Xenopus tropicalis: one gene and its partners. The protein of the gene in region 6 purifies or fractionates together with the protein of the main gene of each other region. This does not show direct contact. Links are inferred from orthologs where the notes say so. Each region holds a gene or a part of one and is shown on either strand. Other genes may lie near its edges.

Region 1 (4,006 bases), on a different chromosome or scaffold from region 6:
ATCGAAAAAATAACTTTAAATAAAAGATAGCAACTGATTTGCATTTCATTGAGTGAAATAAGTTTTTGAACCACTACCAACCATTAAGAGTTCTGGCTCCCACAGAGTGGTTAGACACTTCTACTCAATTAGTCAACCTCATTAAGGACACCTGTCTTAACTAGTCACCTGTATAAAAGACACCTGTCCACAGAATCAATCACAAACTTGGTCATCAATTACAAGAAACGTTTGACCTCTGTGCTTGCAAACAAGGGTTTTTCCACTAAGTATTAAGTCTTTTTTTGTTAGAGGGTTCAAAAACTTATTTCACTCAATGAAATGCAAATCAGTTGCTATCTTTTATTTAAAGTTATTTTTTCGATTTTCCTTTTGATGTGCTATCTGCCACTGTTAAAATAAACCTACCATTGAAATGATACTGTTCTGAGACTTTTCATTTCTTTGTCATTGGACAAACTTACAAAATCAGTGAGGGGTCAAATAATTATTTCCTCCACTGTAGATAGTTTATGTAATCCTTCTCCATTGCCAGGACCTCACTCTTTTCTAACTTAATCCCTGCTTTAGTGATCAGACACCGTAAACATTTTAAAAAAATAGCCTTAAAACAGTTTCCTATAGGTAATATCCTAGTTACCAAGCTGGTTGATCAGTGCATTTAAGGGCGAAGACACACAGAGCTTCTAGTAGCAGCTACTAAAATAGACAATGCCGATCATTTACTGATAACTGTCTCAGTATTGTCTATGGCAGGGTATTTTCTGGGGTTTAGTAGCCATGAAAAAGTAGCAGCTACTAGTAGCTCTGTGTGTCTTCACCCTTATTGGACAGATATTAGCTGCTAATTTGGCCCTTGCAGAACAAGTTGGCAGTTTTTTGGCCATGCAGTGTTTAAACAGCCCGTCTGATAGCTAACTTAAAATTTACCAGATAGCTATCGGGACGTATTTGCATAGGCAGTAATTATAATCTGATGTTGGTCGGGGCCAAATGACCAGCAGACATTACATGCCTAGCTAGCTTTAGGTGACGTTTCAGTGCAAGTATATGGCAGCTTTGCAACTTTGGGAATTACTTAAAATCTCAAGGCTGGCAGTGGAATGCGGGATTGGTGGGTGGGGCACTTGGCATGCCAATTTTATGGCAAGTTTTACTTTTAGTTGTTTAAAAAGAAAATAAATGATACATCTTTCATTAACTGTGCAGAAACTCCTGATAAAACAAAGACTCCATAAACTGTTCCATATGTATTAGGGACATTATTCTTTGTTTTTTTAATGTAATGGAAATAGAGTTACATTTGGAAGTACTTAATTCCTGGGGTGCAGGTGATTCTTGGGAAATAATTGGGGCCAATGCAGCAGTCAGAAAAGCACTACCCATCCCAAAGGGGTTGTTCTTTGAGTTAACGTTTAGTATGATGTAGAGCGTAATATTCTGAGACAATTTGCAATTGGTCTTAATTTTTATTTGTAGTTTTTTAATGTTTTGAATTTCTGTTCAGCAGTTTTCCAGTTTGGGGTTTCAGCAGTTATCTGGTTGCCAGGGTGTAACTTACCTTAGCAACCAGGGAGGGTTTTGAATATGAGACTGATATATCAATAAGAGGGAACCTGAATAGTAAAAAAAGTAACAATAAATTGTAGCCTCACAGAGCACTAGTTCTCAGTAGTGGCTTCCGGGGTCAGTGACCCCCATTTAAAGCTGGAAAGTGTCAGAAGAAGGTGGCACATTATTCAAAAACTATCGACCAACTGCAAAGTTGCTTAGAATTGGCCAATCTATAGGGAATCTCTAAGGAATGTGTTGTGTGTAACCCACCTTGTGTTTTCAATGATAAATACGTGTGGCGAGAAACATGCCCCGGAATGACACTTTCTCCTGTTGCATTAGATTTCAGATGCTGAACTGGAAGAAGTGGTAAAGATCGGGCAAGCGAGTGAAATAGCTCGTCAGACGGCAGAGGAGTCGGGTATAACCAATTCCGCTTCCAGCACGTTACTGTCGGAATACAATGTCGCCAATAATAGTGTGGCCCTCAGGACGCCCAAGACACCAGCCGCGCAGGACCGCATACTGCAGGTACATGGGTGCTTCCACGCTGTGACGGGTGCAATGTTTCTAAATTATATTCAGTTCTGTTATTTTGTAGAATTTTTTTGTTCCTTGCCTTCTTTTTTTCTTTTTATTCTTCTGAACTCTTTTCCCTCCTTAAGATAAAACCACCTTTCTTCTGGTCTGAAGGGATGCACTTTTGTCCCATGGCTTTCACCAGGAGATAGTGTAATTTAATATACAGGTATGGGACCTGTTATCCTGAATGCTCGGGACCTGGGGTGTTCTGGATAAGGGATCTTTTCGTAATTTGGATCTCCATACCTTAAGTCTGCTAAAAAATCATTTAACCATTAAATAAACCCAATAGGGCTGTTCTGCCCCCAATAAGGGATAATTATATCTTAGTTGGGATCAAGTACAGGTACTGTTTTATTATTACAGAGAAAAGGGAATAATTTAACCATTAAACCCAATAGGGCTGTTCTGCCCCCAATAAGGGGTAATTATATCTTAGTTGGGATCAAGTACAGGTACTGTTTTATTATTACAGAGAAAAGGGAATCATTTAACCATTAAATAAACCCAATAGGGCTGTTCTGCCCCCAATAAGGGGTAATTATATCTTAGTTGGGATCAAGTACAGGTATTGTTGTATTATTACAGAGAAAAGGGAATCATTTAACCATGAAATAAACCCAATAGGGCTGTTCTGCCCCCAATAGGGGGTAATTATATCTTAGTTGGTATCAAGTACAGGTACTGTTTTATTATTACAGAGAAATTAAATATTTTTTAAAAATGTGAAATATTGTGAATGTGAATCTTTCTGGATAATGGGTTTCCGGATAATGGGTCCCATATTTGGTGTAAACCAGCACAATTGGCCAACCTTTGTTCAACAACTTGGACTTTACATACCCTATATTAACTTACTTTATCTTTTCTGGATTTTCTCTGTTTCACTAATGCCATTTTTTGATTACTGTGGACCAAAACTGTACTTCCAAGATATAATTCCCCTTTCCTGCTGTAAATCTATAGCCATTGCTAAAGTACTGCAAAGGTCCAGTCAGGCACACCCAGCCAGACCAGCATCCCCAGGGGAACTCACTCCCGCACTTTTGCTGGGTACCCAGACAGGTTGCCTGCAGGCTGTCCACACACACAGGAAATTGAGGACCTTCTGTCCAAAACACGACCAAACAGACAGAAAATTGAGGACCTTCTGTCCAAAACCCCACCAAACAGACAGGAAATTGAGGACCTTCTGTCCAAAACCCCACCAAACAGACAGGAAATTGGGGACTTTTTTTAAAAAATGGTCACATAAGTTTACAATGTGCGCACAGCGATAAAGGAATTAGAAGAAACTGACTGAAACTCATCTGCTACTAGTTCTGAGTTCTACAAAGCGTGCATTATAGCTCAAAGTGCCTTTCTCTGCACCCACCCCCTATTTTTGTACCTTACAGGAAGCGCAGAATCTGATGGCCCTCACCAATGTGGATACACCATTAAAGGGAGGTCTCAACACTCCTCTTCACGAAAGCGATTTTTCAGGAGTTACACCTCAAAGACAAGTGGTACAGACGCCCAACACTGTGCTGTCCACACCATTCAGGTATGAGGAACACGCTAGTGCCTTCTGTAAAATTGGGACATTTCATTTTTATATATTTTTATTCATATGCCTGGAATGTTCCCAGTGGGACGGCCTTTTCTCGTTAGTTTTAAGCCACTAATTGTTAGGTCAGTGTTTGTCATTTCCTTTCCAAGTCTCTCTCCCCTGCTGCCCATGTATTCTAGTGCCAACAAAGCACTCAGGGCAGCAAATGTACAAATACCCCTGGGGTCCTGCATTGCAGAACATTATCCAATTCATTTGGGGGACCCTAGGGATTTGTATGAAAGGGCCCATGTGAAAAGGAAGCTTTAGCTTAGAGAC
Region 2 (4,560 bases), on a different chromosome or scaffold from region 6:
AATGATGATCATGGAATTTTACAGACATCACCCTGTTAACCCTGCCCCTACACAAATAAAACTTACCTTGGGCCTTGAGAATAGCTGCTTTTCCTCTGCCGGCACCAGAACCCTGGTTTTTATTCTTCATACTCTTTAACATGGGAGCATTTTTCAACATGTCTGGGAGGATGAGAAAACGAATTTTGCTGCCTCTGATGTAGACCTGTTCTAGTTGTGCCACTCTGCCATCCCTGTACGTTACAGTGATGTTTGACATCTGAAAGTCAAAGTACAATTTAAGCATCCATGGAGGGAAGAAAAAAGGACACAGGCTTAACATACAGCACTATGTGAGGAATTCTATTACAATGTTTTATATTTATAAAGCTTTAACGGGATCGTGTTTGACTTCACACTCATGTCTCCCCCTTGTTTAGCTCAAAGAATAGCCAAAACCATGTTCTTTTCCTGGGAGACAGCACCAAGAACATTCATACACAGTAGAAGAATGTTTAGAAGACCAGTCTTTGCAGTTTTAAATTTCCTTTAATGTATATCCAAGTTGCGTAGAATTAAATTTTTTCATTACAAAAACAGTTTTTGGCTGGAGGACCCTTTTAATTAAAATAGCCAAAAACAACCTATTTATTGTACAAGGTAATATACAGCTGCGTTAAAATGCTTTAGAAACACTGCTATAGTCTATACCAGTAATGCCCAACCAGTGGCTCCCAGTGGACTTTAAGCAGGTGCTTATTTTTTGTAATTTCTGGTAAGGAGGCAAGTTTCTGTTGCATAAAAACCAGCTGTATTGCCAGCACAATCCTGTAGGCTTCCAGTCCCCATAAGGGCTACCAAATAGCCAATAACAGCCCTTATTTGGCAACCCAAAAGAATTTTTTATGCTTCATTTGCTCCCAAACTCTTTTTACATTTAAATGTGGCTCACAGGTACAAAAGGTTGGGAAACCCTGGTCTATAGAAATAAAGCTGCATGGGGGCAGCTATTCAAACAAAGAGGGCTGAATGGCACAGGTGACAAAAAGATAAGCTCTGTAAAATACAATACAGCTTATGTAACCAGCACCTTTAGGGCTCTGGCACACGGGGGAGATTAGTCGCCCGCGATTAACTCCCTGTTCGCGGGCGACTAATCTCCCCGAGTTGCCTACCCCTGCCATCCCACCGGCGAACATGTAAGTCGCCGGCGGGATGGCAGACGTGGCGGCGCGATTTCGCGCAAATCGCCGAAAAAGACTCGCAAGTCTTTTTCGGTGATTTCCGGAAATCGCCCCGCCGCGTCTGCCATCCCGCCGGCGACTTACATGTTCGCCGGTGGGATGGCAGGGGTAGGCAACTCGGGGAGATTAGTCGCCCGCGAACAGGGAGTTAATCGCGGGCGACTAATCTCCCCCGTGTGCCAGAGCCCTTACTCAGTTTATCCCAGCTTGGATGGCTGCCCCCACTGATACACAGCAGCTTATTTATATGAACTATAGTAGTATCAGTGGGGGCAGCCATCCAAGCTGCTGTGTGTTACTGAAGCAAACACCAGTTCTACCAGTGCAGGGTAACACTACATCGTATTTTGATTACTTTGAAACACTTACATAGTTTAAAAGAATAGGAACACCAAAATATGTTACCGTTTGGCTTCTGTGGGTAGATAAAGGAGACTTTTCTCCATGTTAAAAGAGAAGTTTATACATGAACAACAGAAGAGTGCTTAGTAAAAAGAGCAAAAGGAAATTGTCACCCTAAATATTTTTTAAATTACACAACAGGAATGCAATACGGGTGTAGCCACACCCCACTAACTAGGCTCCTGTAACTAACAGTTTAAAAGTGCATAGCAACAACAGCATTTACATATTTTACTTCTGCTCCTTATCACTGAGCTTTACTGTGAATATACTGACATCTAGAGACACAGCTAGGAAATTGAAATAGATTAGGATTAAAGGAGACATTGTATAAAAATTAAGAATGTACCAGTAAATTATACTCCTCTAGATATAGAAGGACTGTGGTTTAAAAAAAATTGTTTTTTGGACTGTTTTATTGAGAAATTCCACCAAAACCCTAATAGTCCCGCCCATCTGTTCCACTTCCTGCTGGCTGGATAGGAACCAATCAGCAGCTAGGATGACCTGATAGGGAACTGAAGCCTGTCTCTGCTTGTGTGAGTGCTGGGCTGTGATTGCCTTCCCCCCTCCTACTGTGCTTCTGGCAGGGACCGTTAGGACACGCCCACCCTTCATTTTAAACAGGGACAGAGAACTGATAGGATCTACAGGGAGCTCCAATAAAGAGGCCATATTTACAGATGAGTATTTTTTAGCCCAAATGAAACCCGCAGCATATATTGTTCATAATTGTCTACAAAATTAGGTTTTTTTTTCCCCTATTTTTCCATGTCTCCTTTAAGCTATTTACGCTTCTGACCACAATATAACTGCTTCTTTTGCAATGGATAGGGTAACCGAGGCACTATATAGGGAATAAATAGGTGCCTTTTGGAAAATACTTTGCCCCTAACAATTCACACACACATTTTTAGTTTAACACAGCCTTTACAATTGTTGGTCCATAAGGTCTATCACTAGAGTTTATACTGCAATCACCAACGTACTTACAAACATGGCATAAGGTAAATATTTATAAGTTTAGGTGCACTTGCTATAGATATAATACGAATGACTTGCTTATTTTACTTACTTGGCAGTTCATGTTATCCTCTGCTTCAATCAATTTCCCCCTGTATACCTCTCCGGTGTTAGTTTCACATGTCACAATGTGGCCTTCTGCCTCATGAAGGACTTTAATTGGTACACCGATAGACATATTGAGAGCTAATGGAGATTAACCTGCAATTGGAGAAATAAAAATTAGCAAAAAAACGTGGAGAACATACAAAGCGCAACGCAGGTTACTGCATACAATGCAGCCATGTGCAAACTATAAGGTATATTCAAATAAAAATCCTTATTACATAATGTTTATCCAGCCTAAAGCTTTAATCACTTACAGTCTATAAATTCAGCCATACATATGCACACAAACATGCCCAGCCCTTCAGAAACACATGCACGTTAGGACATCGCAGCAGCACAACCCGCAGAAGCAGAGGAGTAACCCTCAATGAATGAGTTCCCTGGGATACTGGCACTGAGGCCTACACAAACGTTTCAGTGCCCCCGGCCTAAGGCAGGAATATTTATAGAAACGGATAACGGACTGGTAACACAGTGAGATGCGTTGGGCCCGGCACCCTGTATATAACCTCACCATAAGGCAATATTTAGAGGGAAGCCCTGCTCACACTCATACAAAGCTGCCAACCGCACAGACCTAAGGGAAAGCGAACAAGCGCCGAGTAACCGAGACGCACACCCCGCCCAGATATCCGCACGCTGCAACCCCCGGGCCTCTCTGACAATCCTGCAAAGCGCAGACTTTTTACCGAACTTTTGTTTGCTTTGGGTAATACTTACTAGCGTGGCTCTGTTCTGCGTTCTAATGGCGTCCCGCCTGCCCCACAATGCACAGCGAAAGGAAACAGGCTGTCGTATCTCTCTGCCCCCTTTTCCCGGCGACTGCACAAGCAAACAACTTCCGGTGGGAAACAGATATGAGTGACTTAGTTCCGCTCATCAACCCATTTATCTATTCACACCATTTAAGAGCGGCTAGTTGCACTGCAACTTTTCATATTATATATTATGAATTATTATTAAATATCTTGAGCTGAAACCTCCAATTAGACTCAGACGTGCAATCTGTGGATTGTGATAAATGCCAGAAGGGCTGCTGTAAGATGTCACAGACACTATTTATTGGGGTGATAGGGGGCTATTTGGGTATCCGCGTATAATTAAATGCCAAGGCCCCATTTCCAGTCCGCACCTGATCAGACTGTTTCTTTTAGTCTGCGCTTTTAATAGGTGCTGATTCTGACTTTATTAACTGAATTGGCAGACCGCTGGCATATGTATGGGCCCAGAATGATCAGGCTTATTTTGTTTATATATCTGCTGAATGCATTGTTTCTGAACTGCCAGAAAGCACATGCAACATTAAGTAAAATGGACAAAATGGCATCTGTGCACAAAAATGTACCCCTGCTCACTGCTGTAAAATGTAGATTCACCCCCCATTCTACCATGAATGTATGTATGTGCACATACAGGACTGGAATTAACCTGTCACTGCAGCCTGAAACTGCTGTTTGTGCCATTAGCCTAAAATTGCAGGCTGCGCTAGTAAAACCATCACATAATCTTGAGGTAAGGGTAATGGCATACACGGTTTAGTTGCCCATTGGCTTTCCCACAAAAGGACAACAACATTACCCATAGCAGCTATATATAGATAGTGCCATAGGCCACAGTGGAAACACATTGAAGAAAAACAAGATGGCTTATTCTGGTATTGGCACAATAATCCGCATTAGTCCTGTTCTTCTAGCAGCCAGAAATTGGGCATCTGGGTGAGAAGGTCACCAGCGGATCTATAACCAATATGGCCACCTAGTTGTGGCTGACATCAGGCAGATCTGTGAGGGCCAAATGATCATTG
Region 3 (4,006 bases), on a different chromosome or scaffold from region 6:
GGATTTATTAAATACAAAAATAATTGCAGGTCAGTCTCTATTCATTGGATTAAGCCCTCGGAAACAAGAAGCCAGTAGGTCACATAGGAAGTGCTATCAGCTACCCATCAATGTATTCGAACACTATCAAATCCATTAGATACAGGTATATACAGAGTCCAGGGGTGGCTGACAGTTGCCGTATGACTAGAAGTCTACTTGGCCATGTCAATAAGGCTCTGCAGGGAAGTGGGCACCCACGTTTTCTCTCCCTGTACGAACACAACGCCTCTGTCTATATAGATCACAATGCGGTTGAAGTTGTAAAGTTGTTTCCCCTCATGACGCTTGCCAATTAGAGGCATAAATACGATGTTGTGCTCCTCGGCCTTGGACTGGATCAGGTCCTTGAAGTTCATGGGCACAGCCGCTGCAGCCCCTATTCCTCTCTGAGCAATGCTCTCCGCGTCTCGCCGCTCCTGCATAGCCTCGTACTGGAAGTCCTTCCTTCTCTCGGTCTGCGTGAGGTAGGCGATGCTCTCCCGTGCCCCCGGCTGCATGTAGGCACCTGGAACAGGCAAGTAAGAGACAGTTGGGTCATGTACTGAATAAAGAACATAAGGCACGGCACCCACTGCACCCAAACATTGCTCATCAAACCGTAATCCAAATGCACTGTTATACTCATATAATCATACAGCATCTATTCTAGTCTCACTGCAAGTTTGTTTAGTCTATTCATAGTGGTATCGAATTGGTCTTCTATGGATATAATAATAGGCCCTCTCAGCTTTTCTTCCATTGCCTCAACCCCTCAAAGAAATACAGTCAGCTCTTCTCCCACTTAACCCCTCAAAGAAAGACCATCAGCTCTTCTTCTACAGCCTCAATCCCTCAAAGAAATAATGTTAGAGTCTGATGCATTGGGAGAAGAGCTATGAAATAATGTCAGCTCTTCTATCACTGCTTTATCCTTCACATAACATTAGATTAATCCCCTATTATCTCGTCCCTTCACTGACACAGTGGCAGATCCGTTTTTTGCCCACCAGAAGCCTACTAAACAGGAGCAGATATGAATAGGAGAATATATATTTACTTACCGACACTAGAGGACACAGCCCGGTTCATGATATCCAGAGCCTCATTAAATTTGTCCTTGATGGCCGGGTGAGCCAACACCAGGTCTGAGAACATGGACTTCCAGCCGAGATACCACTTGGTGATCTCTTCATAATTGGGGTTATTACTGAGCCAGGAGCACAGAACCTAAGAAGAAGCAGAAGGGCAATAAGGAAACACTGTATTTATCTATCCTCACAGCTGCAACACTCGCATTTCCTAATACATGGAGTTACTGCTTTATTACTGTGTGCTGACAGGAGCCATTTTCTTTTAACTCTGCTTTTGAGAAGCCTATTACCAACCACAAACACTGCAGAAAGGCTTATTTTAGGATAAGTAAACCTTAAAAATAAGTGAATGTAAAATTGATAGGGGTGCTATTCTAAGCACTTTTGCAATTTACATTCAGATGAGAAAAAGTTATCTGAGGTTTCTAATGTTTCCCTAACCAGAAGAGCATCAGATCAGCCCTCTTTCTTTCTCCTGACAACATCGTCATCATGGACGGACACTGACCAGCAGATGGCACTGTTGTAACACAATTCACCGTTGTAAAACAATGTCAACAGTACTTTGTTCTTTAATATCTTAAGAATAAAAAAATAATACATGAAAACAGCAAAGGTGCTTAGAATAGCAATCTCAGCAATTTTACATTCATTTATTTTAAAGGTTTATTTATCTTTTATGGTTTTATTATAACAGGGCATATCATTCTTCCTGTAGCTGTGCACAAACACAGACTACTTCTACTTGGGGAAACAATAATGATTCTTATAGTAAAACATTCCAAATTCAAATTCAATGCAAAGCCATTATGGTTTCCAACAATATAGTTACCTGCAGCCACTTGGGGAAGAAATGTTTCTCCAGGATCCCTACGATGCTGGACAAAGAGACCATCCCCTCCCAGTCAGTGACCCAGTGGAAGACTTCCATGTGCTGTTGGTGCGGATTAATAACAAACTCACTGAGACACATGCCTACAGGGGGAGAGAGAAGAGTCACTGGAGGTCTGTACATGAGATGAGCAACTGAACCCCCATTTTAGCAGGAGAGGGAATGCACATTGCTTGGGAGAAATCCTTGGATACCCCAAAAGTCAGCTGGTTTGTGGCCACTTTACTTTTATCATGGGTCGCTCATTTGGAGCAGTAATTTGTATCTGAGCCAATAGCCCATAGGAACAAGATGGCAGCTTTAACTTATATAGTGCAATCAGAATAATGAAAGCAAACATCTGATTAATTGCTATAGAATACTGATTGGGGGAAGCTTTACCTATATTACTACATAAATCCCAAATATTTATTTTTATTGGCTAAATTAGTAGCATAGTTCAGCTTGAAACTGTAGAAAGAGCAGGATATACGAACAGATAGGACTGGATATTCCTGTTATGAAATGTAAATAAATGAAATTGTGGATAAACACACAGATGTTCTTATTAGCGCCAGCGCACCTAGCTTTGGCAAAATGTTCTTCACCATGAAGGCTTCCCAAGAGCCTGGCGTAAACACCTCCTTCCAGGGCTGCAGGATCAGCTTGGCAGAGGAATCGCTGGGGTGCCATTTCTGGAGGGCGTTGGCAAGTTTATTCCGAATGGGAGAGAAGAGTGGCTCTAGCCGCGACTGCATCAAAGGAAGCCAGGGGTGAATCCACGAGTGGATTGGGACGGTGTCTGTCAGGGGGTTCCAGTTCTCAACCTTAATGCAGAAATGTAAAGAATGACATTAATATATAAAACCATGGGTGCCTTGGCCCAGCTCTGACTAATACAGCACTCTCATTCTCTTGTACTAAGCCCAGATGCTGAGAATACTGTGGCCCACGACATAATAATGTTTGCTCACACATATAAGTGATAACAAAGGAACTTACTTACCTCTTTTTGTAATTTGGGGAAAATAAGCTGATCTAGTATGTTATCCAGGATCCAGACTGGCAGCAAATGGACCCAGCAGTCTAAAAAGTCCACCATGGGAGCGCAGTTTCTGGGCTGCCATTGGGCAATGATACTCCTCAACAGGGGAACCCACGTCTCCCACAGCAATCTGCATTGGAACAGAGAATAACACTGAGGTTTAAACAACACATTAAAAGTTTATGATCCACAAAAAATCAATTGCATTTTGTCTCCACATTTGCTCTAGTTAACCCCTTAGTGACCGGGGGGTGCTTTATTTATGGGCAGCTTCGGAAAGCATCACAACCCAACGCCAGGTAAACAAGGAAACTGATATTTATGAAAGGAAGGGGGTGATTTATTTGGTACATTTTCATTGGGAGGATGATTTACACATAGTTTATGCCCACCTAATACTTAACTAAAGGGCTAGGGGAGTAATTGGTACCTGTGGTATGGGTCCATAGATGCATCATGTGCACTGTGAGATAGGAGGTGACCTTCCTCTAGAAGGTTCTTCCACTTACTCATGACATCAGTCCCATAAGTAGGATCCTAGGCAGGAAGAGAGAGAGCAATTAGAAACTGGGGCAAGGATAGGCCCAGGGCACATATGTTAAAGGTAATAGGATGATCTTGCTTTGGAATAACATCAGTAATGCCCCAGCCCCTTAAGTGTCAGCAGCCCATCAACACACCATCTCCTGCTGTGCTATATGTCATATAATAGGCACAATAGGGGAGGAACTTCCCAGTTTTTACTGCCCCCTTAAGCGAATTGACACTTATCCTGAATCCCGACCCAAAAACTCCTCAAAGCATACCTCCCACCTGTCCCGATTTTCAAGGGAAAGTGCCGATTTTAACAGCTCAGCCCACAGTCTCGGATTCTTATTGAAAAGTCCCTCATTTCCCTTTGATCTCCTGCACCGAACACCAAAAAAGATACAGTTTCTTAAACTAAATTAGAAAAGTAGCTTTTGGCAGAGCCCAGAA
Region 4 (4,640 bases), on a different chromosome or scaffold from region 6:
ATAACATACTAGAGATTAAATGAAAACTACCCCTTTAAATGTATCCAGTGTTTCAGTCTGTCAGCTCAGTAATCCAGGTGCAGAACTGTTACTACATTAGTTGATTCTCTTTAGTATATAAATGTAAGCAACTATTGTATCAATTAGAACAGCTGACTTTAATGAAACTCAGCTTACACTCAGCAGGGTCAAAGATGTAAAATGTATCAACTCATTAGTTGCAGATTTGCTGCAGGGAGACATGAGGTGAAAAAAAACTGTAAAATTCAATATTAAAAAAAATTGAAAGCAATTGGAAAAAAAGTCTTCATTTCTGGTGTACTATCTGAAAGCAACTGAAAAGCATTTGAAAGGAGAACTACTCCTTTAATTTAAGCATATATGGGGAAGCTTACAACTGCCTGGATTTTCCTATATCATCTTGACAATAAGCCACAGTTCAGGGGTTTATATTAAGGATTCCAAGAAACATTATCATTCCATATATTATCGCCATGCTTTGTTTCAGTCCTACTTAAATGTTTATTGTTATCCTTTTACTTATATATCCATGACACAGACATAGGAATTATACATCATTTACATCAGTCCCTGGTTCCAAAGGACCCATTCACACACTATGGTCAATTTTTTCAGAGCCAATTAACCTACCGGTATGTTAAAAAAATAAAAGTCAATCACAGCCCTGCAGTCACACAAGCAAATACAGGATTCAGTTCCCTATCAGGTCAGCCTAGCTGCTGATTGGTTCCTATCCTACAGTGTAGTGTGCTGGCCCCCCTGCACAACCCAGGAAAGGCAGAAGGAAGAGGAACACATTGGCATGACCAGTGCCAATAAATCAGCCTAAAACACTACTTTTTAAAGCACATTTCTTCTATATTTAGATCAGTACAAATCATTGGCACAATACTGTTTTTTACACGATATGTCCCCTTTAAAATAATCAAATCACATGGACAAAATATTTCTTGGTACAGTAAATGGTTACTATCATCTATATATATACACAACACATATAAACATACATTTTCTGAATCTGAAAGGCATCTGTTCTAATTTCATTCCTAGAATACTGCAAAACCTTTTATGGCAAAACGTATATTTTATTAACAAATTCATACTCTATAAGGCTACAGCATAGTGGTAAATATACAGCAGTTTTATATTGTATGTACTTGAATTAAAATCATCACTACTCTGAAATTTCAAACAATTGACATTTCACTAAATATATCCTTCAAAAGAAAATTGCCTTGGAAGAATGGCTGGTATTTAAAAATATTACCCTTATAAGGGTTAAAGATAAAAACAAGTAGTTCTATATAAATACAGTACATAAACAGAACTTCACAGAAGACCTGAAGGAAAGTGCAGAACAATTCATTCTCACCTGAATGTCATTATTTTATCCATTTCAGCTTATTCGGAATAAACTAATATTTACTACTATAACTTCAGATGCACAGTGTTACATGCACAATTGGCGCATTGACATTGACAATCCAACACCATGGGCAGCACATTGAACACATTTTATAAGTGGTCAGAAACTTGTAAATAACTCATGAAAGGATAAAGTTACGTTAAAAACAAGCACACCATTGTTTTTCTTGTGAAATTCCCAATAAGTTTGATGTGTCACATGACCCTCTTCCTATTGAAAAAACAAAAGTTGGATCCAAAATGGCCGACTTCAAAATGGCCAGCATGGTCACCACCCATCTTGAAAAGTTTCCCCCCTCACATATACTAATGTGCCACAAAGAGGAAGTTAATATCACCAACCATTCCCATTTTATTAAGGTGTATCCATATAAATGGCCCACCCTGTACACCTATCACATTTATTACAGAAAGACATTTTGGCACTGCCACTCACTTAAGTCGTCTTTCTTCCTGCATCTGTGGCTTGGTTTTTTGAGCTTTGTCCCCCATGCGAGTTCCTTCCAACTTCCCCACCAACGAGAGAACCTCTCCTGTGGGCTCATCTCTGCGGGTACGGTCTATCAGGGAGCGATCAGCTTGAAGTACAAGGTTAGAGTTCTGCATTGCAAAAAATAAATAAATAAATTAGAATTCAGTGCAATAAGCTAGGGGCTATGAAGCTAATGTTTAATTAAGTTCATGTTTACCTTTTTTGCTTCCAATAACACAATGCCATATTTGTTTTCTAATTAACTATAGCTAATTAGATTTTTAGTAGTTTTCCCTGGAATAATGTCTGCTGTGCTTTACACACACTTTTGCAATAAGATCCATTAAAGAAATAAGGAGACAATTTAAGTTACTTTCTCTTTACCTCTCTTACAGTAGAATCACAATTTTACAGTTTCCAAGATTTACAGTTTGACCCTGGAAAACTAAAATCAGGGTTCTCTTGTACTCTTTATGACCCAATACATATTTATAAGCTCTAACCTGGCATGCATGCCATATAAACCATGTAATTTTAATGTAATAATGTAATGAGAGACATCAGTTATCAAATGCATTATCAGAAAGCATAATTGTTGTGTCTAAAAATGCATGGCAGATTCTGTTAATGCCTATAAGAGGGGTCTGGATGAGTTCTTGAACAAGCAGAATATCCAAGGCTATTGTGATACTAATATCTACAGTTAGTACTAGTGGTTGTATATATAGTTTATGTATGTGAGTGTATAGATTGGTAGGTGTGGGTTAGGTGTGCTGGGTTTACTTGGATGGGTTGAACTTGATGGACTCTGGTCTTTTTTCAACCCTATGTAACTATGGTCTGATGTAAACATTGGCTGCCAACTGTGTGTCATATTGAAACTGTAATGCAGCTAAGAGTACAAGCAATGAAACAGCTAAAGCTATGGCATTGTATGCAACTGTGTAAGAACTCAAACTGGCGGCCCCCTATTAATATTCAACAATAGCTACGTCAACACTGTGTTCAATTCCTTCTAAGAATACAATTACAAAGGAAGCAGACTCAGCGATTACAGGAGTCCCAATAGAACACTGGCTTACTCTATTAAATATGTTCCAGAGAAGCCCTACGCGTTCACCCTAAAGCTCCGCACCTGTAGCCGAACTACAACTCGCACTTCTACGTGGCGAACCACAGGCTGAATATTCATGCTAACATCTTCCCAACTCCACTTCTCGTTGCTAACATATTCCCCCTAACAAACTCACCGCTTTGTATTCATACTGCAGGCTTCGGGCTGTTACATCCGCCATGGTTCACTCTGCTGCCCGGCCGTGTTCGCACTCGCAGGGCAAACAACGCGCTCCAGACGAAGTTTCCGGCCCTGAGTTTCCACTTCCGGTACAAGCATAAGCCGCTTCCGTCGACCATTTTTTTCCTTGCAACTTTATTGAAAATCACATACGACCAGTGAAAGGATATCTATTTGTATTAGGAGGCTGAAATAGTTGTTTCAGCTCCATGTATTTTGCACTTAAATATATGTTTAACAAGATATCCCGTCCCTGTTGATAAAAAGCAGCTACACTACATTATACTATATATCCCCACGTTTTACTGTAGGTATTGACATACTAACCTTAAAGAGTTGGCGCTCATGAAACACTACCAGTAATAAAATCAATTTATTTATTGCACAAAAATGAGAAATTCATATATTAAAAAATATCAGTAAAAAACACCTATATTTTTTAATATATGAATTTCTCATTTTTGTGCAATAAATAGATTGATTTTATTACTGGTAGTGTTTCATGAGCGCCAACTCTTTAAGGTTAGTATAAGGAGCACTTTTTGGATTAGTTAGAGGAGGGCAGCTCAACTACATAATAATTTTCCTATATAGCTCACAGAGGTAAACCCTTTTTTTTTTTAATGAATGGAAAAAGCACATTTTGTAATTAATCACTAGTTTATTTAGAAGCGCGGATCAGGTTTGTATATGTAGGTATTGACATGCCATATCAAGGGTTCTGCATAACACATTGGCCTGTATAGGAGGAAGACACAAAAGCCATTGCCCCAAAAGAACCATGTAAAAGTACAACTGGTGTTTGGCAAAACAGATGGGGACCCAGAGAAAGCTCTTCTTCCAAATTTCAAGCAATGGCATAGTCCAAGTCCCAGTCCACCTGAGAATCTGTGATGCTATTTGAAAACGGCGATGACAAGGATCATCTCAGTTACCAGAACCTGAAGCACAACTACTTCACATAATGGGCCAAAATGACTTTCGAACAGTGTACAAAGTTGGTATTAATCAACATATAACAATATTATTTTAACAAAATAGTCACATTAAAAATTTTTTTTGAGATTAAGTGCTTTAAAAGAAAAACCAAGGAGAGCAGGATTTCTTATTCAATAGTCAGGGGTATGAATAGGTTTTCAGTGAACTATGTATGACTTTAAAATATACTCCTTTATTGCAGGAGTTCAACCTCATGTGACACACAAAAAAAAAAAAAAAAAATGCGCTGTAAAGCTCGGTGTAATGTATACATCCAGTTGAAAATCTAGGATTTTTCAAACCAATAGGTAACTGTGTGAGCGGCATATTAAGCGTTTCCTTTGTGGATGAATGCGCTGTTAAATACTTACCTGAAGGTGTATTCACGAAGCTTCTTAAAGAGCAAATAAGATTGTATGTACACGAAATAATAACCATAGGTAACCACTA
Region 5 (4,446 bases), on a different chromosome or scaffold from region 6:
CTTCCTGTGAAAAAAAGAGAAACAGATGATTTATTTTTCCCCAGTTTAATAAATGTTCAAAAAGACACAAACATCAGAGGTAAGCTGGCCATATACTATGTGTAATTTTTGGCCAATGAGCCCAAGGGGTTCTTGATCAAACCTGCCCAATCAGATCCATGTGTGGCCACTTTTAGACTGATCCTTGGTGAGACAATTGGCTGCTGTAGTATCACATTAAGCTTTATTTATCAACTTGTATAATGACCAGCTTCTTCATTTACTATCTTGGCTGTGCTTTGAAACAGAATAAGTTATAAACATGCACCCAAACTTAAGAACATGTTAATAATTACAATTTCTTGCCTTACAAAAGCATAAGAACGACAAATGTACACCATATAAAAAAAAGTTACAGGGAGTGAGAGCAGATAGATTAATGCGTACTTAGCATTGAATTATTGTGTGCATAATGTTGTGGGATTGTTATTGTAACAGCTTGAGAGCATTAACCCCCACATGTAATTAAAGGCACTAAGTTTGCCCAGGAGCAGTAACCAATAAGATGTTTCCTTTTATACAGGTAACCAGAAAATTCTACCTGCTGATTTATCGCTATGGGTTACTGCTCCTAGGTAAACTTAGTGCATTTTACTGCATAACCCCTTCAATTAATTGGCATATGCAACCTCTAAAGCATGTGTGTGATCACTATAATCATTTTAAGGAGTAGGATATAAAGTTGTTGTTTGTGATCACCCAGTAGTCCAAACCAGAGGAGAGGAACAACCTTCAGATGGTTAGAACAGGTGGTTTGTAGCATCTTGGTAACCGTATTTTTCAAAATCAAACTACCAACTATAGTATCTATAGTAAATATGGGGCATTTGCTCCGATGTACTGAATTGCTTAAATAAAATACCCGCAGTTCTTTAGGGAGAATAATGTTTTTCCGCAAAGCATTGACTCTCAATCTCTCATCAGCGTATTCATATGCCATTTTCCTCCTTTTAACATCCCGAAACATCCTCCAGTCAACGTAGTAATTTCGGACTTGATTTGTACAAGTTGCAGAAGGCCAAGGAAACAACTGAAAAAAAAAAAGATTTTTTTTAACAGTACAGGTATGGAACCTGTTATCCAGAATGCTTGTGACCCAGGGTATTCCGGATAAGGGATCTTTCTGTAATTTGGATCTCCATAACTTGAATCTGCTTAAAATCATTTAAATATTGACTAAACCCAATAGGGTTGTTTTGTCTCCAGTAAGGATTAATTATAGTTAGGACCAAGTACAAGGTTCTGTTTTATAATTACAGGAATCATAGAGAAAAAGGAAATCATTTTTAAAAATTAGAATTATTTGCTTATAATGGAGACTATGGAAGATGGCCTCTCCGTAATTCGGAACTTTCTGGGTAACGGGTTTCCGGATAAGGGGTTAGAATTATCGATTAATATTGTAAAGTATTTCTGGGGCCATACATATCATAATCTACTTGTTTGGCCATTCTGATAACAAAAAAAAATGGATACTTCTGCATTTTGGCCACTGAAGTGTAAGCCAATTCCAGATTGTCACTCTGGGCCTGCTACTGGTACCTTTACGCGTGTTTTCTCTTGGAAAGGAAAAAATGTTCATCCCTATAAGCTACTGTAATGAGTCCCTAGCGTGGGTGGTGAGGGATGTAATTAATAATAAAACAAAGTCTACAGCATTTGGAACAAACATTCCTCCCCAAAAATGCATTTATTTCAAAGTTTTCCAATACCCTAAACATAAATGGCTGCTGCATATGTACCATTTAAAAATGATCAAACGCACATGTTGGCCAAACCAAACATATTACTACTCTTCTATATATTTATAATATAGTACCTGGCCACGCTCTTGAAAAAGTTGTAATGTTAATTAGCAAGATAAAGGCGTATAAACCTCCAGTGAAGAAAATATAAGCCACATGTCATCACTGATGCTATTTGAGAGGCCCCGCTACTCCTATTTTACATGTAAACAGGCCTTATTGGGGCGCTTAGTATCTGGCATAGGTTCCCAGACATGGGACTTTTATTCACTTGATTATAGGAAATACATTTTTTTTAATTATAAGTATTTAGCTGCCCCCCATTCAAAGTGTTTATTTGGCAAAAACAAAAGGCTCCATATAACTTGTGAATATATAACATTGGTGAAATACCCCAATGCTAGGCTGCACGGAGAGTAGCACTACCTTCCATAATTCAAATAAACAATACTAGAGGACTCTTATTTTCTTCAGTTATCCCTGAGATTCTTCCGCTGCCGGACTTCCAAGGGCAGGGACCCTATTGCGTGTGAGTGCCGCTGGTATCACTACACCCTTTATTTAGCTCTACTGATTTACTCATTGTCTTCCTCCCCGCAGCCCTTTATGCCCACCAGCCTGTTGTCAATGTCATCGTCCCATTTACCTGCCGAGCGCTTCGAAACACACTCCCCAGCATGGAAGCCGCCATCTTGTTTTTAGACGCTATTCAAAATCAAGCAACTTTGTTACTTACAAGCGGCGTGGCTTGTATAGACTTACAATGGTGTGAACTATGCCATTGCGCCAGTAGATGGCAGCAAGCTTTAAGATTGTAAAAAAATCCGCTGAAGGTCATCCGCATTCGAATTTATATATGAGGCGTTAGAAGTTGGAGCTTGAAGCATTTTGACCCAATTTGGGCCTCGTAGATTATAAGGCTGGCACAGTCTGAATGTTATTATATTTATTCTAGTAAGTGCAAAATGCACAGTTAAAACAATTGTGTAGCATTTTGCAAATGGAAAGAGGGACAAAAATAAATGCTGCAGCCTGTGGTGCGATTTTTTGACCATGTCCATTTCTGTGACCACACCCCCTAAATACCACTCCCATTTGACTAAATTTGGCAGGTTATTTAAAGTTTGAACACATTTCTGGTGAGTTTTGGGGTCCTGTTTTATGTGTTATTATAGTTTTGATGAAAAAGGTGAAATTTCCCTTTAAGCTGTAAGTCTCAGTTACCCCAAGAGCATACCTCCCAACTGTCCCGATTTTGCCACTCTGTCCCGCAGTCCCTGATTGCCGCAGATTTGTCCCGGTTTTAAAGTTCTCTGCTCCCGTGACGTCACATCACGTCTTTCATTAGCACCGCAGCTTCTGCGCCGCTCAGTTCAGTTCTAACATTTAGAGATTCACTGCGCAGAAGCTGTGGTGCTCCCGAGAGACATGCGTGTGACGTCACGGGGAGGAGAAGAAGAGCCGGGTGGCGCAGCTGGAGCAAGCGGGCGGGGGTGGTAGGAGCAGGGGGAGCCACAGAAAGCAGGGGGACGCTGGGGAGGACACTGGAGGAAGGTAAGGGGCAGCTGGAGGACGCTAGGAGGCAGCTGGAGGAAGGTAAGGGGCAGCTGGGGGATGCTGGGGAGGACGTTTTGGGGGAGCTGAAGGATGGTGGGGGGGACGCTGGGAGGAGCTGGAGAAAGGTAAGGGGCAGCTGAAGGATTTTGGGGAGGATGCTGGGGGGAGCTGGAGGATGTTGGGTGGATGCTGTGGTGAGCAGGAGGATGCTAGGGGGGAGCTGGAGGATGTTGGGTGGATGCTGGGGGGAGCTGAAGGATGCTGGGGAGGACGCAGGGGGGAGCTGGAGGGTGTTGGGGAGGACACTGGGGGGAGCTGGAGAATGTTGGGTGGATACTGGGGGGAGCTGGAGAATGTTGGGTGGATGCTGTGGGGAGCAGGAGGATGCTGGGGGGAGCTGGAGGATGTTGGGTGGATGCTGTGGTGAGCAGGAGGATGCTGGGGGGAGCTGGAGGATGTTGGGTGCATGCTGGGGGGAGCTGAAGGATGTTGGGGAGGACGCTGGGGGGAGCTGGAGGATGTTGGGGAGGACACTGGGGGGTGCTGGAGAATGTTGGGTGGATACTGGGGGGAGCTGGAGAATGTTGGGTGGATGCTGTGGGGAGCAGGAGGATGCTGGGGGGAGCTGGAGGATGTTGGGTGGATGCTGGGGGGAGCTGAAGGATGTTGGGGAGGACACTGGGGGGAGCTGGAGGATGTTGGGGAGGATGCTGGGGGGAGCTGGAGGATGTTGGGTGGATGCTGGGGGTCTAGAGGATGTTGGGAGGATGCTGGGGGGAGCTGAAGGATGTTGGGAGGATGCTGGGGGGAACTGGAGGATGTTGGGGAGGATGCTGCAGTGGGGAGTGGCCCATAGTATGGGGATACTGGGGGAGGACCAGCAATGTTTTAGGGGGCCCTGGGCTGGCTTGGCTGGCAATATTTTAGGGGGTCCCTGCTCTGGCACCAATGCAAAACATAACACCTGGCTACCAATGTTTTAGGGGGGCCCTGACAACCAATGTTTTAGGGGGGTCCTGATAACCAATGTTTTAGGGGGCCCTGGCTACCTATGTCTGTCATGAGTCATGATATACAGGTGCCACAGGGCATAATGAAATCCTTA
Region 6 (4,693 bases):
GTATTTTTTGATCATTGAGATCTGACCCCCCAGCCCCTTTTTTCAGGGCTATAAAAATGTCATGACCATCCCTAAGTGCAGAGATTTAATTCCTATATACTCCCCATTTTATGATGGAATTAGACGCCAAGTATCAAAAAACAAACACCCCAGGGCAACCAGAGTACATTTCTTGCACCTTTATGTATTAATTGGCAAAGCATACTGGATCATTAAAAGGGGTGGCTCACCTTTAATTTAACTTTTAGCATGTTATAAAATGGACAATTCTAAGAAACTCTTCAACTGGTCCTTATTATTTCGCTTATAGTTTGAATTATTTGCCACCTTCTACAAACTCGTTGTAGCTTTCAAATGGGGGGTCATCGAGCCCCTAAACCAAGAAAACCTACTGCTCTGTGAGGCTACACTTTTATTGTTGTTACTTTGTCTCTCTCCTATTCAATTATCAGTCTCTCATTCCAATCATTCCCTGGGTGCTAAGGTAATTTGGAGCCTAGCAACCAAACCAGAGAGTTGACAAAACTATTGAAAATAGAAAAACTACAAAGAAAAAATTAAGACCAACTGCAAATTGTCTCAAACTAAAAGTTAACTTAAGGGTGAACAACCCCCTTTAACGTTCAGTATGATGTAGAGTTATTCTAAGAATTTGCAATTTTTTGCCTTTATTTTTTATTTGCAAACTCTGAATTATTTAGCGGATTGTTCAGCCGCTTTCTCTCAAAACTATTTGTTATACAGGGAGGCTCTTCTTAACCCCAATCACATACTTGATTTGTTACTGCCACTGGGTTTCTGACACTACAGTACCTGACAGACACCTTTACAGGCCAGGTAGGACAAAGGTTTTAAACTTTGCACCACACATGCAAATCTGGGGCATTGCTAGCGTATTACCATCACCTTGCAATAAAGGCCCTGAAGTGCGTGAATGCAGCCTGAAAGATGGCAGTGTGGCCAGGTGCAGGGGGAATGGTAAACAAGCGACTGGACTAAAGGGGGGAAAATTGCTCTCTAGAACCAATTCATTTACCTCCCTTTTCCTCCTAATTATGCACACAAAGAGGAATGCTGAGACGTACACACAACATTCTCAGCACTATACATTACTATAGGTACCAATATAAAGGGGAAATACAGGAAGGAGACAGGGGGCTACAAATACCCCAGGCCAGCACTACATACACCCACAGGTACCAATATAAAGGGGAAATACAGGAAGGAGACAGGGGGCTACAGATATCCCAGGCCAGCACTACATACACCCACAGGTACCAATATAAAGGGGAAATACAGGAAGGAGACAGGAGGCTACAGATACCCCAGGCCAGCACTACATACACCCACAGGTACCAATATAAAGGGGAAATACAGGAAGGAGACAGGAGGCTACAGATACCCCAGGCCAGCACTACATACACCCACAGGTACCAATATAAAGGGGAAATACAGGAAGGAGACAGGAGGCTACAGATACCCCAGGCCAGCACTACATACACCCACAGGTACCAATATAAAGGGGAAATACAGGAAGGCGACAGGAGGCTACAGATACCCCAGGCCAGCACTACATACACCCACAGGTACCAATATAAAGGGGGAATACAGGAAGGAGACAGGAGGCTACAGATACCCCAGGCCAGCACTACATACACCCACAGGTACCAATATAAAGGGGAAATACAGGAAGGAGACAGGAGGCTACAGATACCCCAGGCCAGCACTACATACACCCACAGGTACCAATATAAAGGGGAAATACAGGAAGGAGACAGGAGGCTACAGATATCCCAGGCCAGCACTACATACACCCACAGGTACCAATATAAAGGGGAAATACAGGAAGGAGACAGGGGGCTACAGATACCCCAGGCCAGCACTACATACACCCACAGGTACCAATATAAAGGGGAAATACAGGAAGGAGACAGGAGGCTACAGATACCCCAGGCCAGCACTACATACACCCACAGGTACCAATATAAAGGGGAAATACAGGAAGGAGACAGGAGGCTACAGATACCCCAGGCCAGCACTACATACACCCACAGGTACCAATATAAAGGGGAAATACAGGAAGGAGACAGGAGGCTACAGATATCCCAGGCCAGCACTACATACACCCACAGGTACCAATATAAAGGGGAAATACAGGAAGGAGACAGGGGGCTACAGATACCCCAGGCCAGCACTACATACACCCACAGGTACCAATATAAAGGGGAAATACAGGAAGGAGACAGGAGGCTACAGATACCCCAGGCCAGCACTACATACACCCACAGGTACCAATATAAAGGGGAAATACAGGAAGGAGACAGGAGGCTACAGATACCCCAGGCCAGCACTACATACACCCACAGGTACCAATATAAAGGGGAAATACAGGAAGGAGACAGGAGGCTACAGATACCCCAGGCCAGCACTACAAACACACACAGGTACCAATATAAAGGGGAAATACCCATAGGAACCTATATTAGGGAAAAACTGGGAGAATAGGGGCCACCAGGATATCAGCCCAGTGGGAAAAGACAAAGAGAATAGTGGAAGAAGAACTGGCGGCTACACATCTCAGCATATGGACTCTCCACATGTAAACAACGCTAGAATAAGTGGCCCCACAGACTCCGGCAGAGAAACACGTCAGAGCCGTACCTACAGTCGCCCTTACAGCCGCAGGTTCCTATATCCGGGCGCCATGTCTGCAACTGGGGCCCCACGTGATTCCCCGTACCAAAGAATGGAACCGCTGCACAACTCCGGCTGTAACTCTCCGCCACCGCAGCCCATACCGCTCCGCCTCAGTGCGGGGCCCCCACCCTATTCAGTAGAACGGAGAGCCTTAGCGCGCACATGAGGCAAACCCGCCATTCTCATGCATGGCTCTGGCGCCCAATCTCAAGGCCCCGGCCTAGTTCTACTACATACACATGGGAGCGCCCTAAACCCTAACGCTACTTTCCTCAATCACACACCCAACGCTTACCCACAGCCGTACCGAGACAGTTCCCGGAACTCAGCCTCTATCAACGCCGCTGTCCTGAGCAAACCGGGCGCCTCACACCCGGGAAATTCCCGTCTCCTTCACTGCACCTAGGCCGCACGTCGTGTGAATAGGCCACGGCCGCACTGCATATCAGATCCGAATCCCTCCGCGCACACGGCAAGAGCAAGATGCCATTAAACCACGCCCCTTTCGGAACAAGGGTTATAACACAATTGTAGATGTATTACTCCGCGACAGAGGCCGAGAAGAAAGAGCTCCGCTGGTTTTTGTGGCGGGCTCTATTTTTAGTGATTCTCAGCCTGTAGCATTTATTAGCCCGCAGACCGTCCGTGAGGGTAGTCTGGCAGTTGGTATTTTAGAATTAGTGCGGGTAGAATATTGAAGTGTTTACCTAAGAAAATGTAACTTTAAGCTACTTCGAGTCTTTAAATTACTCACCTCCTTAGACTGTAAGCTCAACGGGGGAGGGGTCTCATTCCCCTTGTCTTTTATAGACTTTTTTTTTATGTAATTATGCTTTGTATTTGTTATTATAGTAAAACATGTATTACTCTGTTGTTGTGCTGTACTGTGCTACATACATAAGTAGCCTTTATTAATAAAAATATGATTTTCACTGTAATTACGCTTGAAAGAAGTATCAGGTAGTTTATATCATCTGCACTGCTGGTTCTGACCCATGAAACAATGTAGCAGAAACCAGCTTTATATCAGATCTGGATAGGTTTGCCACCCCAATGTTATTAATAGGGATGGGTGGAAATCTCTTTTAAGGACAAATTGTATTATTTATGTCTGTATTTTATTGAAACTGTAGCATTGCAAAGGACCCCCCCCCCCCCCCCATTTTGTACTGTGAGTTGGTGTAACATTCAAAAAAAACTGGGGGCAATTAACATATTGCCACCCTCTGTTATTATGTTTACTTTGTCATTTAAATTGCTGTTTTTTTACCCAGGCTAGAGTGTCTCTTCAGAAAAAACACACCAACATGGGTGCTGCCATCTTACCTGCATTACCCAGAGATCCGTTTAGAACCGCACTTGTCTGAGAACCTTGCCTCAGCTGGCAGTAAGTGGGCAGTTTCTAGGGGCGGCAAAAAGCCTCTTCTTTAAGAGCCAAATTTCCCCCTTTTAAATGGAAATTGGCTCTACTTGTGTAGAGAGCACATTATTGTTCCTATGTCAAAAAGATAAGCATGGAGTGGGTGGGCTGGGCCAGTGGGATACAGGGAAAAAACCTGGTTGGCCCCAACGACCCAGACCTGATCCCCACCTGCTCCCCGTTGCTACTCACTGCTGCCATACTTTCCCCAACCCTGGTAAAAGTAAGTCAAAGTTGCACACGGTGGGGGGGAAGGGGCTGGCGGGATTTGAGTGGGCGGGTAGTGGGGGGGAAGGGGCAGGCGGGATTTGAGTGGGCGGGTAGTGGGGGGCCCTGAGTTAGGTGCCCCAGTGGGACTTGCATACCCCAGTCTGACCCTGTGTAGGTTGGCACATGGGATCAATGCAGGTAAGATGGCAGCCTGGTGCTCATTTTCTGAAGAGGAGTACTGGCCTGAAAAAAAGTTAGTAATTTCATTCATTGGGGGTGCGCTATACCATCTGGTGCGGAAAGGAGCTCCGGAGTGGGCAGTCATGTTTGTTCACACGAATGCGCATAATGAGTGATACTCCGGTC
Region 7 (4,006 bases), on a different chromosome or scaffold from region 6:
AACCTGTCCTCTGTCAGACACAAGAAGGACAGGACCGATTACAAGTCCGAGGAGGAACTGAAGAAGCTGGAAAACCTCCTGGTGAAGAAACCAAACCAGGATATCTTAGATCACGAGAGGAAAAGAAAGGTGGAGCTAAAATGTTTGGAACTGGAGGAGATGATGGAGGAGCAAGGGTAAGAGACACATTAAACCAGTACAGGTATGGGGGTCTGTTATCCGGAAACCCATTATCCAGAAAGTTCCAAATTACAAAATGGCCATCTCCCATAGTCTCTATTATAAGCAAATAATTCTAATTTTTGAAAATGATTTCCTTTTCTTTGTAATAATAAAACAGTACCTGTACTTGATCCCAACTAAGATATAATTACCCCTTATTGGGGCAGAACAGCCCTATTGGGTTTATTTAATGGTTAAATGATTCCCTTTTGTCTGTAATAATAAAACAGTACCTGTACTTGATCCCAACTAAGATATAATTACCCCTTATTGGGGCAGAAGAGCCCTATTGGGTTTATTTAATGGTTAAACGATTCCCTTTTGTCTGTAATAATAAAACAGTACCTGTACTTGATCCCAACTAAGATATAATTACCCCTTATTGGGGGCAGAACAATTCTATTGGGTTTATTTAATGGTTAAATGATTCCCTTTTCTCTGTAATAATAAAACAGTACCTGTACTTGATCCCAACTAAGATATAATTACCCCTTATTGGGGCAGAACAGTCCTATTGGGTTTATTTAATGGTTAAATGATTCCCTTTTCTCTAATAATAAAACAGTACCTGTACTTGATCCCAACTAAGATATAATTACCCCTTATTGGGGCAGAACAGCCCTATTGGGTTTATTTAATGGTTAAATGATTCCCTTTTCTCTGTAATAATAAAACAGTACCTGTACTTGATCCCAACTAAGATATAATTACCCCTTATTGGGGGCAGAACAGCCCTATTGGGTTTATTTCATGGTTAAATGATTCCCTTTTCTCTGTAATAATAAAACAGTACCTGTACTTGATCCCAACTAAGATATAATTACCCCTTATTGGGGCAGAACAGCCCTATTGGGTTTATTTAATGGTTACATGATTCCCTTTTCTCTGTAATAATAAAACAGTACCTGTACTTGATCCCAACTAAGATATAATTACCCCTTATTGGGGGCAGAACAGCCCTATTGGGTTTATTTCATGGTTAAATGATTCCCTTTTCTCTGTAATAATAAAACAGTACCTGTATTATTAAAATAATTTTTTAGCAGACTTTAGGTAGGAGATCCAAATTACAGAAAGATCCCTTATCTGGAAAACCACAGGTCCCGAGCTTTCTGAATAATAGGTCCCATACCTGTATAGGACTAGTTGCCATTTATGCTATATAGATTGCTACAGTGTGGCAGCTCTGCACTTCACCATTGTGCCACATGACAAGCGGCAGGGGCAATGACTAAAAAGAGCGGACTAGGGGTGGGCAAGAGAGGCTCCTGTCTGGTGCCCCCCAATTGTTGCGCCCTAGGCAGCTGCCTCCTCTGCCTACCCCTAGTTCAGGCCCTGAGGCTATTTGCTTTAAAAAATGAACTTTAGAAGGCCTGGCTGCCTAGCACTAAGTATGCACACTAGCTTAGAGTCGCGTAAATTCACTTCAAGGAAAACTATACCCCCAAACAATGTAGGTCTCTATAACAAATATATTGCATATTTATATTGTAAATCCCTGCTTCATCGAAATAAGTCATTTTCATAAAAATATACTTTTATAGTAGTATGTGCCATTGGGTAATCCTAAATAGAAAACTGCCATTTCAAGAATTAAGGGCCGCCCCCTGGGATCATAGGAGTCAAAGTGCACACAGACAAGCCAAGGCACACATACATGCTAGGCCCCATCAGCCAATGAATGGACAGAGTTCTGCCTTCTGCTCCCTCACTACTTCCTGTTACAGTTAGAGCTGCATTATTTCCTGTCAGCTGATCTCTGAGGGAGCACCCAGCCCATCACAAAATGGCGGCTCAAGGGAAAGGATATAAAAGGGCAATATTTACTGATATATATATTCCAGTTTGGGGAGATTCTTTAATAGGTCACTTAACAAAATATAAACTATCTGTTGGTTATGTATACATTCTGGGGGTATAGTTTGCCTTTAAAGGGGCAGTGCACTTTCAGTTAACTTTTAAAATGATGGAGACAGTGATATTCTAAGACCATTTGCATTTGATCTTCATTTTTTGTTTTTTTTTTTCAAGATAGCTTTTTGTTTAGCAGCTCTACCATTTGGGATTTTAGCAGGTTTTGGTTGCTAGCATCCAGTTTAACCTAGCAACCAGGCAGTGGTTTGAATGAAAGGCAAGAAGACTAATAGGCGAGGCCTTGAATCGAAATATAAGTAAACGGTAACAATAACCTTGTAGCTTCATAGAGCAGTAGGATTATTGGCTACTGGGGTCAGTGGCCCCACCATTTGAAAGCTGCAAAAAGGCAGAAGAGGAAGGCAAATAGAAAAAAAAAAAGACCAATGGACAAGTTGCTAAAAATAGGGTATTCTATAACATAAGTTTATTTAAATGTGAGATGCCCCTTTAAAGGAAGCAGCAAATGAAACGTTTCAAGTTGTATAATACCCTATCTTAATTTCTCAATGCTCTTCTGTGTGCGCTCCAGGTACAGCGAAGCTGAGATCCAAGAGAAAGTGGCCACATTCAGACTGATGCTGCAAGAGAAAGATCTGACGCAAAGCAAAGAAGAGGAGAAGCAGAAAGCCAAGTAAGTGGCCAAACTAAGCTTTGTGAGCTGCAAGCCTTTATTGGAGGGTATATCTCATTTATCAAGCCTGGAGTGAAGCCCGAAACGTTGCCTTTGGCACTTGAGTAAAGACTCACATTTTTCAAAACAACCGGAGTGCTGCTGTTTTCTTCATTTTTGTATTTATCTGCCCGTCAGTGGGTACAGCGTGCACCTGGGGCTGCAAGAAGCTATTTTCACTGTGTAAGCACATGTTAACTGATTCTATTTGTTTATTACTCCCCATTTTTACACACTTTCTCTGTGTTTAGTATTTCAGAGACGCATCAAATGGCCGAAGCAAACGAGAAGAAGAATGAGCGGCTACGTGAGGCTTTCGGGATCAGTGACAGCTATGTGGACGGGAGCAGTTTCGACCCCAATCGCAGAGCTGCCAATGCAGCAGCCAAACAGCAGGAGCAGCAGAAGCAGTATAGGTAAGAATTAGCTTTCATGGTATGTGGGGGAATGGCATTCCTCCAGTGCATTTTCCTGTACACTGAGGACTTAATGGGTTAATGAGATTCTTCCTCTTGTAGTCTGATTGAAGATTCTGGCAGTTCTCGCTCCCCTTCTCCCACCAAACACAAGAAAAAGAAGAAAAAGAAAGATCGTGGACGGTAAGTGTGTTGGGGGTTTGAGGGCAGACATGGTTATTTCTCTAGAGGCGGGGCAGTTCTTAGGCTCCTCCTGTGTGTACTTTGCTTTAATTTAGCTCTGCCCCCTTCCCCAATTATTGTTCATCTGTATTAAAGGAGCAGTTCACCTTTAAAGTGGACCTGTCACTCTCACCTGAAAATTCAGCTACTGGTTCAGATAGTGCAGAAAAGCAGCGCTCTCTTTTTTTTTTTTTTTCCTTTTCTGTGTCTTTCCGCAGATATTGCCTATTATCTTTATGCCCTGTCAATCAAAAGTATTCAGCTACGCCTCTATGCCTTAGGCATAGAGGCGTCTCCTTTTATTCTACGTCACCACTCCTTCAATTCTCCCCCTCCCTATAGAGACTATCAGTCTCGCATAGCTTTAATGAGAACGCGCACACGTTATTATGGTAGAGACGCGCCTAACTATTGTGAGCGAGCTCTATCCTGAGATTCTTGGGGGTGCACAGACTCGCAAAGGAGCGTGACAGTTTCTCAATTTGGATGTGAGGAACTATACGCGTCCCTTCATTTACAGCGCATGCGCGATATTAAAGAGCAGGACAGACGTGAAACA

Evidence for each region.
Region 1: the proteins of snrnp70 (region 6) and cdc5l purify together in Homo sapiens (affinity purification with mass spectrometry; 3 studies listed by BioGRID and IntAct, counting the BioPlex papers as one, with this or other methods). This does not show direct contact. The link is inferred for Xenopus tropicalis from reciprocal best matches to the Homo sapiens genes SNRNP70 and CDC5L.
Region 2: the proteins of snrnp70 (region 6) and snrpd3 purify together in Homo sapiens (affinity purification with mass spectrometry; 6 studies listed by BioGRID and IntAct, counting the BioPlex papers as one, with this or other methods). This does not show direct contact. The link is inferred for Xenopus tropicalis from reciprocal best matches to the Homo sapiens genes SNRNP70 and SNRPD3.
Region 3: the proteins of snrnp70 (region 6) and tfip11 fractionate together in Homo sapiens (co-fractionation; 3 studies listed by BioGRID, with this or other methods). This does not show direct contact. The link is inferred for Xenopus tropicalis from reciprocal best matches to the Homo sapiens genes SNRNP70 and TFIP11.
Region 4: the proteins of snrnp70 (region 6) and snrnp200 fractionate together in Homo sapiens (co-fractionation; 3 studies listed by BioGRID, with this or other methods). This does not show direct contact. The link is inferred for Xenopus tropicalis from reciprocal best matches to the Homo sapiens genes SNRNP70 and SNRNP200.
Region 5: the proteins of snrnp70 (region 6) and mrps14 purify together in Homo sapiens (affinity purification with mass spectrometry; 3 studies listed by BioGRID and IntAct, with this or other methods). This does not show direct contact. The link is inferred for Xenopus tropicalis from reciprocal best matches to the Homo sapiens genes SNRNP70 and MRPS14.
Region 7: the proteins of snrnp70 (region 6) and srrm2 purify together in Homo sapiens (affinity purification with mass spectrometry; 3 studies listed by BioGRID and IntAct, counting the BioPlex papers as one, with this or other methods). This does not show direct contact. The link is inferred for Xenopus tropicalis from reciprocal best matches to the Homo sapiens genes SNRNP70 and SRRM2.

The regions. Positions count from the first base shown.
Region 1 is NC_030681.2:148,154,531-148,158,536, reverse strand, and holds part of cdc5l (cell division cycle 5-like protein), read left to right. Parts: intron 1-1,896; coding exon 1,897-2,085; intron 2,086-3,533; coding exon 3,534-3,682; intron 3,683-4,006.
Region 2 is NC_030677.2:152,604,943-152,609,502, reverse strand, and holds the start of snrpd3 (small nuclear ribonucleoprotein Sm D3), read right to left. Parts: upstream 2,850-4,560; 5' UTR 2,827-2,849; coding exon 2,701-2,826; intron 260-2,700; coding exon 67-259; intron 1-66. UniProt on the Homo sapiens protein: Plays a role in pre-mRNA splicing as a core component of the spliceosomal U1, U2, U4 and U5 small nuclear ribonucleoproteins (snRNPs), the building blocks of the spliceosome.
Region 3 is NC_030680.2:15,115,438-15,119,443, reverse strand, and holds part of tfip11 (tuftelin-interacting protein 11), read right to left. Parts: intron 3,566-4,006; coding exon 3,459-3,565; intron 3,159-3,458; coding exon 2,990-3,158; intron 2,811-2,989; coding exon 2,567-2,810; intron 2,088-2,566; coding exon 1,945-2,087; intron 1,249-1,944; coding exon 1,083-1,248; intron 548-1,082; coding exon 195-547; 3' UTR 1-194. UniProt on the Homo sapiens protein: Involved in pre-mRNA splicing, specifically in spliceosome disassembly during late-stage splicing events. Intron turnover seems to proceed through reactions in two lariat-intron associated complexes termed Intron Large (IL) and Intron Small (IS).
Region 4 is NC_030679.2:125,100,081-125,104,720, forward strand, and holds the start of snrnp200 (U5 small nuclear ribonucleoprotein 200 kDa helicase), read right to left. Parts: upstream 3,307-4,640; 5' UTR 3,214-3,306; coding exon 3,169-3,213; intron 2,047-3,168; coding exon 1,883-2,046; intron 1-1,882. UniProt on the Homo sapiens protein: Catalyzes the ATP-dependent unwinding of U4/U6 RNA duplices, an essential step in the assembly of a catalytically active spliceosome. Plays a role in pre-mRNA splicing as a core component of precatalytic, catalytic and postcatalytic spliceosomal complexes.
Region 5 is NC_030680.2:98,126,403-98,130,848, forward strand, and holds the start of mrps14 (28S ribosomal protein S14, mitochondrial), read right to left. Parts: upstream 2,851-4,446; 5' UTR 2,476-2,850; coding exon 2,431-2,475; intron 1,070-2,430; coding exon 902-1,069; intron 5-901; coding exon 1-4.
Region 6 is NC_030683.2:113,680,945-113,685,637, reverse strand, and holds the start of snrnp70 (U1 small nuclear ribonucleoprotein 70 kDa), read right to left. Parts: upstream 3,232-4,693; 5' UTR 2,993-3,231; intron 2,702-2,992; exon of another isoform or gene 2,662-2,701; intron 1-2,661. UniProt on the Homo sapiens protein: Component of the spliceosomal U1 snRNP, which is essential for recognition of the pre-mRNA 5' splice-site and the subsequent assembly of the spliceosome. SNRNP70 binds to the loop I region of U1-snRNA.
Region 7 is NC_030685.2:12,492,704-12,496,709, forward strand, and holds part of srrm2 (serine/arginine repetitive matrix protein 2), read left to right. Parts: coding exon 1-176; intron 177-2,668; coding exon 2,669-2,770; intron 2,771-3,060; coding exon 3,061-3,225; intron 3,226-3,327; coding exon 3,328-3,408; intron 3,409-4,006. UniProt on the Homo sapiens protein: Required for pre-mRNA splicing as component of the spliceosome. As a component of the minor spliceosome, involved in the splicing of U12-type introns in pre-mRNAs.